2 linked regions of the Drosophila melanogaster genome follow. The protein of the gene in region 1 interacts with the protein of each later gene in a pairwise test. Each region holds a gene or a part of one and is shown on either strand. Other genes may lie near its edges.

Evidence for each region.
Region 2: the proteins of Ptp4E (region 1) and FucT6 interact in a two-hybrid assay, tested with the Drosophila melanogaster proteins (one large-scale study listed by BioGRID).

Annotation. Positions count from the first base shown.
Region 1 is NC_004354.4:4,937,255-4,942,312, forward strand, and holds the start of Ptp4E (protein tyrosine phosphatase 4E), read left to right. Parts: upstream 1-1,873; 5' UTR 1,874-1,946; exon of another isoform or gene 1,947-2,050; intron 2,051-2,182; exon of another isoform or gene 2,183-2,278; intron 2,279-2,326; exon of another isoform or gene 2,327-2,421; intron 2,422-3,167; 5' UTR 3,168-3,392; coding exon 3,393-3,593; intron 3,594-5,058.
Region 2 is NC_004354.4:11,706,074-11,712,150, forward strand, and holds FucT6 (alpha1,6-fucosyltransferase), read right to left. Parts: upstream 3,879-6,077; 5' UTR 3,375-3,878; coding exon 3,130-3,374; intron 2,722-3,129; coding exon 2,172-2,721; intron 2,063-2,171; coding exon 1,638-2,062; intron 1,573-1,637; coding exon 933-1,572; 3' UTR 502-932; downstream 1-501. Other genes in the region: amun, read right to left, coding at 5,437-6,077. UniProt on the Drosophila melanogaster protein: Catalyzes the addition of fucose in alpha 1-6 linkage to the first GlcNAc residue, next to the peptide chains in N-glycans. The addition is prevented if the GlcNAc residue is already fucosylated.

The sequences.
Region 1 (5,058 bases):
AAAACAACAACGAGCGAAATTGAGCGTGAAAACAGAGGAAACGCGAGGATAGATATTGTATAAAAACATGCGTATTTAACAGCGGCTGACCTTGTTTTCATTTGCGCCTAACAAGCTACGGAAAGTGAAAGACTTTGATTGGAATTCTCATAAGAATGTGAAACAGGTTTCGCTCTCATAACGGTATCTGCATACACATACACACACACACACACAGATGAGCCGTAATAGCCAGGCAAAAACAAGAAAAAGCCGGAAAAAGAAAGTAAAAAGGCAGAAAATGTTTAGTTTATATTTCTAGAGCGAGAAAGAGAGAGAGAGAGATATGGGGACGTAGAGAGCGACTGTTAAGTAATACATTTGCAGAGAAAGCGCGCGCAAAAGACACAAGAAAAAAAAACACATTTGCATGTATTGTGTGCTACTTATTGATGGCGTTATTTTCTGGTGTTTTTCGCACAATTGCCGCAGTTTCTGAACGCTGCTTTTGACATTGGAAGAGTTCAAGCGGCTTTTTTTTTACGAATTCGATTTAAACTCATTTTCGATCTGCGAAGGTCAACAGCAAAACAAAATGAAGCCGACTGCACGCACACCAAGGCAATATTTACACAGATACATTCACCACAGTTGTATGTTGCTTGTGTTGCTCCTTAAATATGTTACATATTTAACATATATGATATGTTGTGACAATCAAATAGTACTTGCAATCTTTACCTTGGTTGAGCCGCTCGATTTTACAACTGTTATTTATCACACTTTATTTTCAGTTTAAAATGCACTTTTTCGCTTCCTTTTCACTTTTGATTGCTACTGACATCAACTTGACGTTCTGCTAGTGACTGTATGTTAGCTCCTAACAGCTTCGGCAATTTATCGATTAGTGCTGTTAACGCTACAGCTACCTAACAGAATTAAAGAAATATATTAAATTTAACAAAAATACTGAATACAGCTAGCTGGTCATACTCCTGTTTTACATTTTATTTAATTTACGAATACGTTTAATTTAAATTTTGTTGATATATAATTTAATAAATTTTTTGGTCTCAAAACGTCTTAGCTAACCCCACACAAAACCACTTCGAGATTATTCTGAGGTTCTACGAAAAAAAACTTGTTATATATACAGAGATATATGTATTTTAAAACCAAATAAAAATGAACCTGTATATAATAATACCATAAGATAGCTACTTACTCTACGAGCTGTGAGCCTTGAGTGCCGGTGCTCATATAACTTTCTTAAGCTTGCTTGATATAATTTTCATATTGCATATCTAAAAAAAAATAAAAAAATAATTATAAAATTTTTGTAAAAAGTTCAGTAAAAACAGTTTAATTCACTTATTACCTGGTATTTCCTTCTCTGCAAATATAAACGAATTTTAGATATTTTCAAATTTGTTTGAGTTGGTGTGTTCTGTTTATTATGAAAACATGGATACATTTTTAACAAGTGCTCAAAATATTATTTTATTTACTAAATATATCAATATATAAAATAAATTGTATTTTCTATTAGAAGACTAGTAATAAAAATGACAAAGTTATAATAATACCATTGGAAATAATTACCAAATTGCAATTTTTGAAATTGCAAAGTGTGACTGCACGAATACTTGTTGAATATCAACTGCATGAATTAAATTTCGCTTTCCGAATCAACGAAACATCAAATTTGGTCAAACATGAGCAAAACATGTCATATAATATTAACAATATATTCTTTAAGAAATTTAACAATTTTAAATAAATTATGAGTGACCCTGTGTTGTGTAAAATATGTGGTATTTATTCAGTATTTTTGGGTTTTTTTTTCTGTTTTTCGGCAGCACTGCGCGGCGGTCACGCCTTTGTATTGTATTTATATTCATTCGTTAAGCGACGGTCGTCCAAAAAGGCAGAAAATGTGGAAATTCATTGATGAACAGTGGTGAAAAGTGCGTGCAGTCATTCGCTTCAATTTGTCGTGGCCGATTCCTTTTCGCAACCAATTTTTCTTATTTTTTTTCTTGTCAGTAACAAGTTGTCGGTCAATAAAAGTGTCAGTTTATTTTCTGCATAATAACGGTTACTAAAGCCTAAATTTTTTGTTTGTGACTTCTTTTTTTTTAAACAAATGCGCCGACGCGCCAGAAGTTTATATTCTGTTTTTATGTTTTCCGCTTAAAACGAAACGTGACTAGTTTGTTTTAAATTGGTGTGCAACGAAAACAAGAAGAAGCGGATGAAGAGGGTGGAGAGGAGAGGAAGCAGAAGAAAAAGAGCAACAGTCAAGTGAATTAGTTTTTTTTTCGTCCATGCCGTCGCTGCCAACGTCGACGCCGTTGCGCCGCCGCATTTAGTCATTGCATCAGTGTGTCCGAGTGTGTGTGTGGCAGAGAGAGCGAGTGGGAGAGCAAGGGTGGAGTAAAAGTAAATGCGTGCAATTAGCATTTAATGCAATCACCATTAACCGCCTACTATTGTAATTTATATTACCCTAGTACCTGTAATTTACACATACACCTACACACACACCTGCTCAGCTAGTGGTAGTGCAAATATGAAGTGCAAAAAGCGGCGGCAACAACAATTGTCTGTTAATTGCTGGATATTTCGTAATGCAGCAACAATAACAACGGTAGCAAACTGTAATGCCACAGTGAAGACTCGCTAATCGAAACTTTGTCGGGCATATTAACCAAATTCGTTATATGTTTGCATTGAATTTACATTTCATATATTAACTTCTAAATCTCGTTAGATTTACATGCTCGCGTGTTCAATAGCAGGGAGGGCCCACTGTACTTGTAGTGAAGCGCCGTTACAGCCACAAATGCGTGTGAGTGTGATTATGTATGCATGTGTGTCTGCATCAAATCACACACTTGCAGCGCTCATGCACACGCACTTGTACTTGTGCGTGGCTCACATTTCCATAGCCAGCCGCTTCCCCCTCCACGATCAGTGTTGCTCTTCACCTGCAGCTTTCGCTTCTGCTTCTTCTTCTCCCGCACGCATGTGCCGTTACAAATTCGCTTGGACATAAATCATTTTTCGTGCATTAGCCGGCGATTGTTAATGGAAATCGTATTAGAAAACAACAATTACAATGGGCCCACATCTGCCGCTCTCGCTCTCGATCGCGCTCATCATTGCTCTCCCGTTTCCCGTTACAGAGAGTGCAATACAAGTGCAATATTAATTAAGTAATAGAGGAAACGTAATATGCGTGTGCAATACAAACAAATGACCATGTAACGGCCAACAGAAATGTATATGCAATACAAACGTACATACATGTGTAAAACAATAAGCGCAAAACACCGCCCATCCCCGCTTGAAAAGTAAAACCAGCAATCTGCGAAACCTTCGACCATCATTGGGTTTTACTGTACTTGAAAATGGACTGTGCCACGCGAAAACAACAACAATTACGGGCACATCATCAGCAGCAACAAATACAAATACAAACACATGGACGAAAGCGGCAGCAATTACAAAAACAACGCCACAACCACCACCACTACTACCAAAATTCACAACAACAACAAAAACATTTCGTGTGGCTTGTTGTTGGCATTTTGACAATTTTTTTGGCTCAGGTGAGTGAGAAAAAAAAATGAAGGAAAAGAAACAACAACAAAACATAGTGATAAAGATAAAGCGACAGGTAAACCCGCAAAGTTAGTTACCTCTATGATTTGGGGGAAATTCGTTGGGAAAATTCTGAGGACTCCTAATGGATGGCGCAGGGTTGTCAAAAATATTCATATTTTAACTAATTACAATGCAGATTTCATAGATTGGCCAGCAACACAGACAATTTGCTAATTATTTTGAAATGTTTTTTTCTGTTTTTATTGATTCTTTTTTTTTCGAAAATTACAAGCCAACTATTTTCCACATTTAGTGGCAGAAAATGTCTTAACTGGGTTTTTGATTCGCTGAGTGCGTTTTAGGAACTCGTTTGGCCGGTTCTAGTTGTGATTTTGGCTGGGTGTTATGTTATTTTAATATGAACTCGCTCAACCGCTCACTAAAATTGAACTAAAATTACGATAAATCCAGATTTCATATAAAATCGAATAGTGAGATACAAATATTTAATGTGTTCAATATTTCAAACCAGGTTTACTTGTTATCTGATCAAACTTCGGTAGTCAAACTATTGATTGCATAGCTCGAAATCTTTAAAGGCAATTTAGAAGCGCAAATTAGAAGTTTAGGCCCAAGTCAATTTGAAATGACACACACAGGTGATGAATCCGGTGATTAAATTTGATTTTGTTGGGTGATTTGTGGGCTTATTCCCGTGATTATTCCTTGTTTTATTGCCTGAGTTTTTTTTTTTACCTCGTTCACAAAACTCGTTTCATTTCGTTTCGTTTTGCATTGTTGTCGCATTGTTTCAGCGCAAACGAAAGACAATAAAAACAAAATCCCAACCATCGCAACGCAACAAGTAAAAAGTTAAAAAAAAAAAAAAAATGATGAAAACACTAAAAAGCGAACGCAAGTTAAAATCAAGGTTGGTTCTGATGACGCTGTCCATCGCAACTTCCTCACTCTGAAAAAATTTCAATACGCTTATCGAGCGATTCCCCGAGATAGCCCAGCATAGTCGTAAACTGTTTCTAAGCTTGAAATAATAAAAAATAAAAAAAACTATAGAAATCAAAGCCTTAATAAATAGATGGCAAAACTTGTATCTTTGCTGCTGCAGTTTGTGTATTCTTTGTATCTCAGATGATCACAACAACAATAAAGTTGTCCCTGATTTCGCAGTTTCTTTGGCCACAATAACTTGAATGCACTGCCGTCTTAGTTTTGTTTTTTTTTTTTCTTTCCACATGCTTCATATTCATAACTCACGTGTTTCTGGCACTGTGACTTTGGCTTTCATTTTATCTGGGCATTGCCGCGATTGCGGATCGCAGGTCATTACGTGCCGGCTTATCGCCCGAACTTGGAACTTGGCCGAAAGTATTCGTATTACTAAGCGTCCCAAACATACAAATGCGAAAATGTTTATAAAAAAAATAAAAAAAAATGCCAGCGAAGAAGAGT
Region 2 (6,077 bases), 6.8 Mb from region 1:
TGTATGACATTCCATATTTGGACCATAATTTTTAAAGTTTCGCTAAAATAAATAAATAAATCAATAAATTATTGATTTTCAAAACCAGCTGCCTGATGAAATTCAACGACAAAAAATTAGAATTTCCAATTTTGAATAAGGAATTACACATTTTTGAGGAAAATTTTTAGATTTTTCGTACCAGGCGATCATAACCAGTAGCAGAAAACAAACTGCCAGTCTGTACAAAATGCACATTTTTATGGTAAATATATTGATTTTTTGCATCAGGCGATTACAATAAATAGCAGGTGTATACTGAAAACGAAATTCCAAAAGATCGTTGGTCTCATTCTGAAATTTCTGTTCGCCTGGTAGCGAAGCCCACAGCCCAGAGTTGCAGAAAAGGTAAATCGCTTTCAATATTTGCTTTTTAAAACATTACTATTTATTTCTTTTACTATGACGCTTGAATTTATCAGTTTTAGTTTTGTTTTGCGTTCGTTTTTTATCTTTGTTTTTGTTTTCTTTCAACTATTTTACAGGTGATAGACTATATTGCGCTTAGTGAAACTACATGCACTTCTATATATAATTTATTTATATATATAAATATCTTTATGTATATTCTTGTCAACATAATTTCTTCGGCTTTCGACTTACATCTTATTAAAAGACTTGTACAAATGCAGAATAAGAATAAGAATAAGATTCGGAATCGAAATCAGAGCGTAAAAGTGCGCAGACGAGAACATGAAGAAATAGTCACATATTGATGGACAAGTACAGAAAGAGCGAGATTTCATTTGAGATTCTGGACATTCGATAGATTCTGGTGATGCTGATCCGAGCCGAATCGATATGCACCATGGAAATTCCAGGTGGAATGCGGCAGATAGGATTTACAGATCGATCAACAACATGGCCGAGAATGTAGTGATGTGAGCAACTAACTAAATGCCCGCATAGAGAGGCAGCTTGGCGGTGTCCACCTTCTCCTCCACCTTGAACGAGGGGAATAGGCCGCCCTGGTTGGTGCGGGTATTCTTGCCCTTGGAATTGCCATCCCAATGGTTACCAGCCACCGAGACGAGGTCACCAACACGCAGCTGTAGATCCTCGTGCGTGCGCGGCTTGTGGGCGATAACGACGCGGCGATTGTGCGCATTCTGGCCACCGTAGTAGTATATGTCGTCCAGCGACTTGAACCGATGCGCTGCATCCGGATACATCGTCTGCATTATCTCGTAGGCCACGCGACACACCTGCGACGAGAAGGTGCACACCAGATGATCGGACATGGAAAGCAGGTGGATATCCAGAATGATCCCGTTCAGGGCGGTGTCCGTGTATCGTGTGGATACGGACGCCATGCGCGCCACCTCCGGATCACCAATGATCTGGTACTGCGGGTACTTTCGGCGCGCCTCCTCAATAACCTGGGCATCATCCGATGCGAGGAAAATCCGGCGAGCCACAGTGCTGCCGTTTACCTCCAGCGTGCGGTAGTAGTCCTCGACATAGGTCATATACTCCTCCACACTGTGGCAGGCCGCTTCTGTGCCCACTTTGTCCGTGCGACGGACATGAACGCTGTAAGAAAAAACCCGAATATTTAATTTTTTTCAAAAGAACAAATCGACTCTTGGTTCACTTACCCAACAATGGGACGCTCCCAACCCAAATTGCGCATGCCAGAGGTAAGAAAATCCCGCGTCGTTGGTTGCGGTCGGAGCAAATACTTAAGGAACTGACCCACCCACCAAACGATGGGGTCTCCATGCAGACGCTTAAGTCTCGGCGCCAGATCCTCGGGAACGGCGAGCGGCAGGTACGGCGGTCTCGGCATCAGCGAGTCAATGATGGGCAACACCAGCACCTGGGTGTTCGGCTTGCCCGGCCAATTGTATGTGTTGGCGGTGCCCGCATCATGGCAGCTGTTGGACACCGGTTGGAACACCTCCTCCCAGCCGCCCTTGTGATACCGCCATCCGCGGGATTTTAAGATGAGCGTCCGCTCGGTGGCGTAGGCCACTATAAAGCAATACACCACATGGTGCAGTTGGCAGCCGTAGCCACAGCCCTGGGGATTTAGGAATAACGAATTAGATTAATGGCTGACAAGTAAGGTGGCATTATAGTAACCGAAAGATTAGCTCAAGAAATAGGAATAATAAGAATATATAACGCACCTTGTTGAGCTTACAGACCAGCTTGCGAGCATTCTGGCAATCACTGGGATTCTGTAGATGGTGCAGGCGCCGCTGTACCAAATCGCTCAAATCCCGTGCCTCCTTGTGTCGCCAGGCCTCGTAGCCATCGGACTGACGCATCCGCTCCATATCGCTCAGCAGGGAGCGCTTGTGCTCGGCGCCTTGGAGCAGCACCTGGTTAATGGACTCCTCCAAATCGGCACTCGCATGGCCGGCGGCCACTGCCTTACGCACTTTGCCCAGTTCACTGCTGAAGAAATTCCAGATCTCACCGATGTTCGTCTGGATGCGTCTGCGCGTGAACTCGTACTCTAGGCTGGGCTCGAATTCGCCATGATCCGGAACACCGGCCTCCAGATCATTGGGCGCTCCCTCGGCCACATTATTCCAACCGCGCAGATCAGCGGGGGCGGACTCGAACATGGATTCTGGTTCCGGGCCGGCGACCTCGGGCGCCAGCTTTGGATTTAGCGCATCGTTCTCCAGCCTTTGCACCAGTTTCATTGCGCTCTGCTTGTCCAGTTGGTCACTGGAAAATAAAAAAAAAAAAGAGGGAGATGGGGGTTCAGGTTAGCAAAGCAGCTTATCGCATGTAATTCCGCCTACGTGCCATGAATAATTAGCCTGGCTGCTGACAAAACATCATTATGGTGATCGCAAAAGTGTAACTGCTATGGTACAATGTTTCAGGAAGCTATATTTAATACAAATACTATTGAAGCTTCTTTATTTCTACATAAACCGAGAACTGGTTATTGATTGATGCTAATCTCTTTGATATCACAGCTATGGCGGTATTTAAAATCGCAATTAACGTGTATAATCATTTGTTTACTTTATAGCAAGACCAAAAGGGGTTCCAGGCGAGTGCTAACAATGATATATTTTGTGCTATTGTGCTGCCCCCGGCTGTATCCCCACAGCTCCAGCCACCTACCTCATCAACTCGTCGATGAGCTGTTTAAGCTCCTCATTGCGCTGTCTCGTGTGCTCCAGCATCTGGAGCGCCTGTGATATGCGACGGGCGTTCAGCTCACTCTCCCCGGCCGCCTGCTGGCCCTGAGTATTGGTCAGCTTGACCACGAACACGTAGACCAACCCGATCCAGGCCAGTACGAATATGATGAGGGCGCGTGCCCAGGAGTTGGCCGAAGCCCCGAATAGCTGACGCACCAGCAGCATGCCGGCGTTTCCACTGCTGCTCCTGCTCCTCCTCCTCCTCTGGATTCTGCCCTCCGCTCGCCGGGACCACAATCGATCTTCCAGGGGATCAAGGAACGGGGCTCCGAACGGGGGCGGACTCGGAAATGCTCTCTACGTGTACTTCAATGCGGAGCTGTTTCGATTCCGGTGCATAGTCTCAATTAACTCCGATCCGGCCAGCAACCAAGGCGATCCAATGACATGGTCGGCGGGGCTAGGATTCCTCTTCGATTTATAGATATTTTATAAAGGATATATGGACGTATGGGATGGTGGCCAGCTGGAATGCAAGTTTCACGGAGCTCGATCAATGCCAGAATGAAATTGACTGATGGGCCGGTGGTCTATATCGCCGATCGAGTTGGCCAGGTAGTCGTGGCAAGTCAAATTAAGTGCAAAAGTATTCTATATATTTCCGTCCTGTTCTGTGTTTTCTTTTGATTAGCACTAGAGCTGTGTTGTTAGCACACCATGCTATCGATGCATAGACATCGATACATCTGCCCACTTGAAGAGCGTTGCCATATTCGGACGAGCCATTACATTATTTTCGATAAGTCGATGACTAGTTCCAACGGCTCTCGATGTAACGCCTATTCAAACACCAAATGCAAAAACCCCATTGAAGTGATAAAACAATTGAAGATGATTGTGGGATGTTTTCAGTTTTATGCCGTGTTTTCTTAATATTTCACATTTTATTCGCACTTATGCTACTAATAATAAAAATGATTATAATTTTCAGATGTGTTGTTACTTTCAAAGTTCCGACCGATCTGCGAGTGGTATGGGTCGTGGATATCGGGGAAACCACCCGGTACCGGCAACCCAAACCACGCGGAGATCGGACGACCTGCGTCGGGTGCAATTAAGATGCGGGCCGTATGCTTCCGTATCTTCTTTTTTCTCTTTTGGAAATCAAATGAAACGTGATTATCGTATAAATTATAAAAAATTCAGTATATGTAAAGTTAAAAAAAAGTTTTACACATAATATAAATTATATTATTATAATTACGACCACAAAAATTTCTTAGTGTTGAAATGAGTTTTGTTTTGTTTTGTTTCTTCCGAGTGTTTGTGTGTTTATGTGTGTGGGGAGGGGGTGTATTCTGTGTGCGGCGTGTTTTGAGTGAGAGAGATAGAGAGAGAGCGCGAGTTGCTGCGGGTCGACGGTCGAAGGGGGTGGTGGTGGAGTTGGTGGTGGGGGGCTTGGTTTATACGACAAGTTTTGATTTATTATTAAATTTAAATACCTATGTATATAAATTACGTTTCTGTTTATTATAATTATTGTTGTTTCCATCTTAATCATTTTGTTTTCTTTCGCTTTTTATTTTTCATATTTTTTTTTTGTTTTTTGTATGTAGTGGGCAACTGCGGCATTTGTAAATTTCTTTATATTTAAATGTTCCTTTTGACTGTGTAAAAATATCGATTTCCATCTGATCTTGTTTTGTAGTTACTATTCATGTATGCATTTGCTTTTCGTTTTAGTTAAATTACGTTAACGCTGCATTCTGAACTCTCTGTTGCTGCTGATTCTGCTGCTTGTTCTTCGGATTCTTGATCGGATTCTTCTGATTCTTCATCTTGGCGCGCTTTCTATGCTATTGAAATGTTGTTTGTGGTGCTGCTTACTGCCTTCTGGATCGGGATCCTATATTCCGCTCTGATCTGATCGGTTATGTTCATGTTATGTCGGGTTGTGTGTGTCTGTGTTGTGTGTATGAGAGTGGAGTGTGTTGGGTGTTCGCATCTCGTTATATGTTGTATATATATATATATATATGTGTATATATATATATATATAATATATTATATGTATGTATAGTTAGTTGCTTAATAGTAGAATTTCTTGAATGTTGTTGTGGTAAAGTGTAGGTAATGTTGCTCTATGTCTCTATGTCGACTCAACTGCACTACATACATATGTCTTTCCACCGGATACGCGGCGAACCGAAACGTGCCGAGCCGAACCGATCCCCGTTTCTGACCCGCATCCGCATCCGTATCCGTATTTCGTTTCCTCACCTCCGCCTCATTCGCTGCGCAGTTTCTTTAGATCCGGTGACTTCTCCCCCACGCCCACACCCACTCCGCCGGCGTTCTTCAGCTCCATATCGCAGTGCAGGGCAGTACGCTTCTGTCCAATGGCTGGTGCCGAGTCTGCACCCGCTGCTACCGGTGAAACCGCATCCACCGCCTTGTTCGCCGCCAGCTGCTGCAGTTTACTGTCCCTCACAATGCCGTTGCTGCTATTGCTCTCGTCAGCCTCTAGCTCCGCCTCATTATCCTCCTCCTCGTCCAGCTCATCTTCCTCCTCGTCCTCCGCCTCATCCTCATCCTCGTCGCCCAGGACGCCGTTCCCGTTACCATTTCCATTGGCTGGTGCTGCAGTCGCTTTGCTGGCTGGCTGTGGTGCTGCTGTAACCGCTTCCTCTTCTGCCAAAGGAGCAGGCTGACCGTTGTTGGTGATCGAATTGTTAGTTTTGTGGGGCTGGCTCGGCGACTGCTTTTGATTCTGATTCTGGCTCGAGTGCTGTGTGGGAGTCAGGATGGGCAGGCTGTTGGTCTTGGGCGGCGCCTCCTGATTGCTTTCAGAGTCCGAGGCGAGCGGTGTTCCACTCGAACCGATGCCAATGCCAATGTCTAGGGCGATGGGCTCACCGTCCTCTGTGG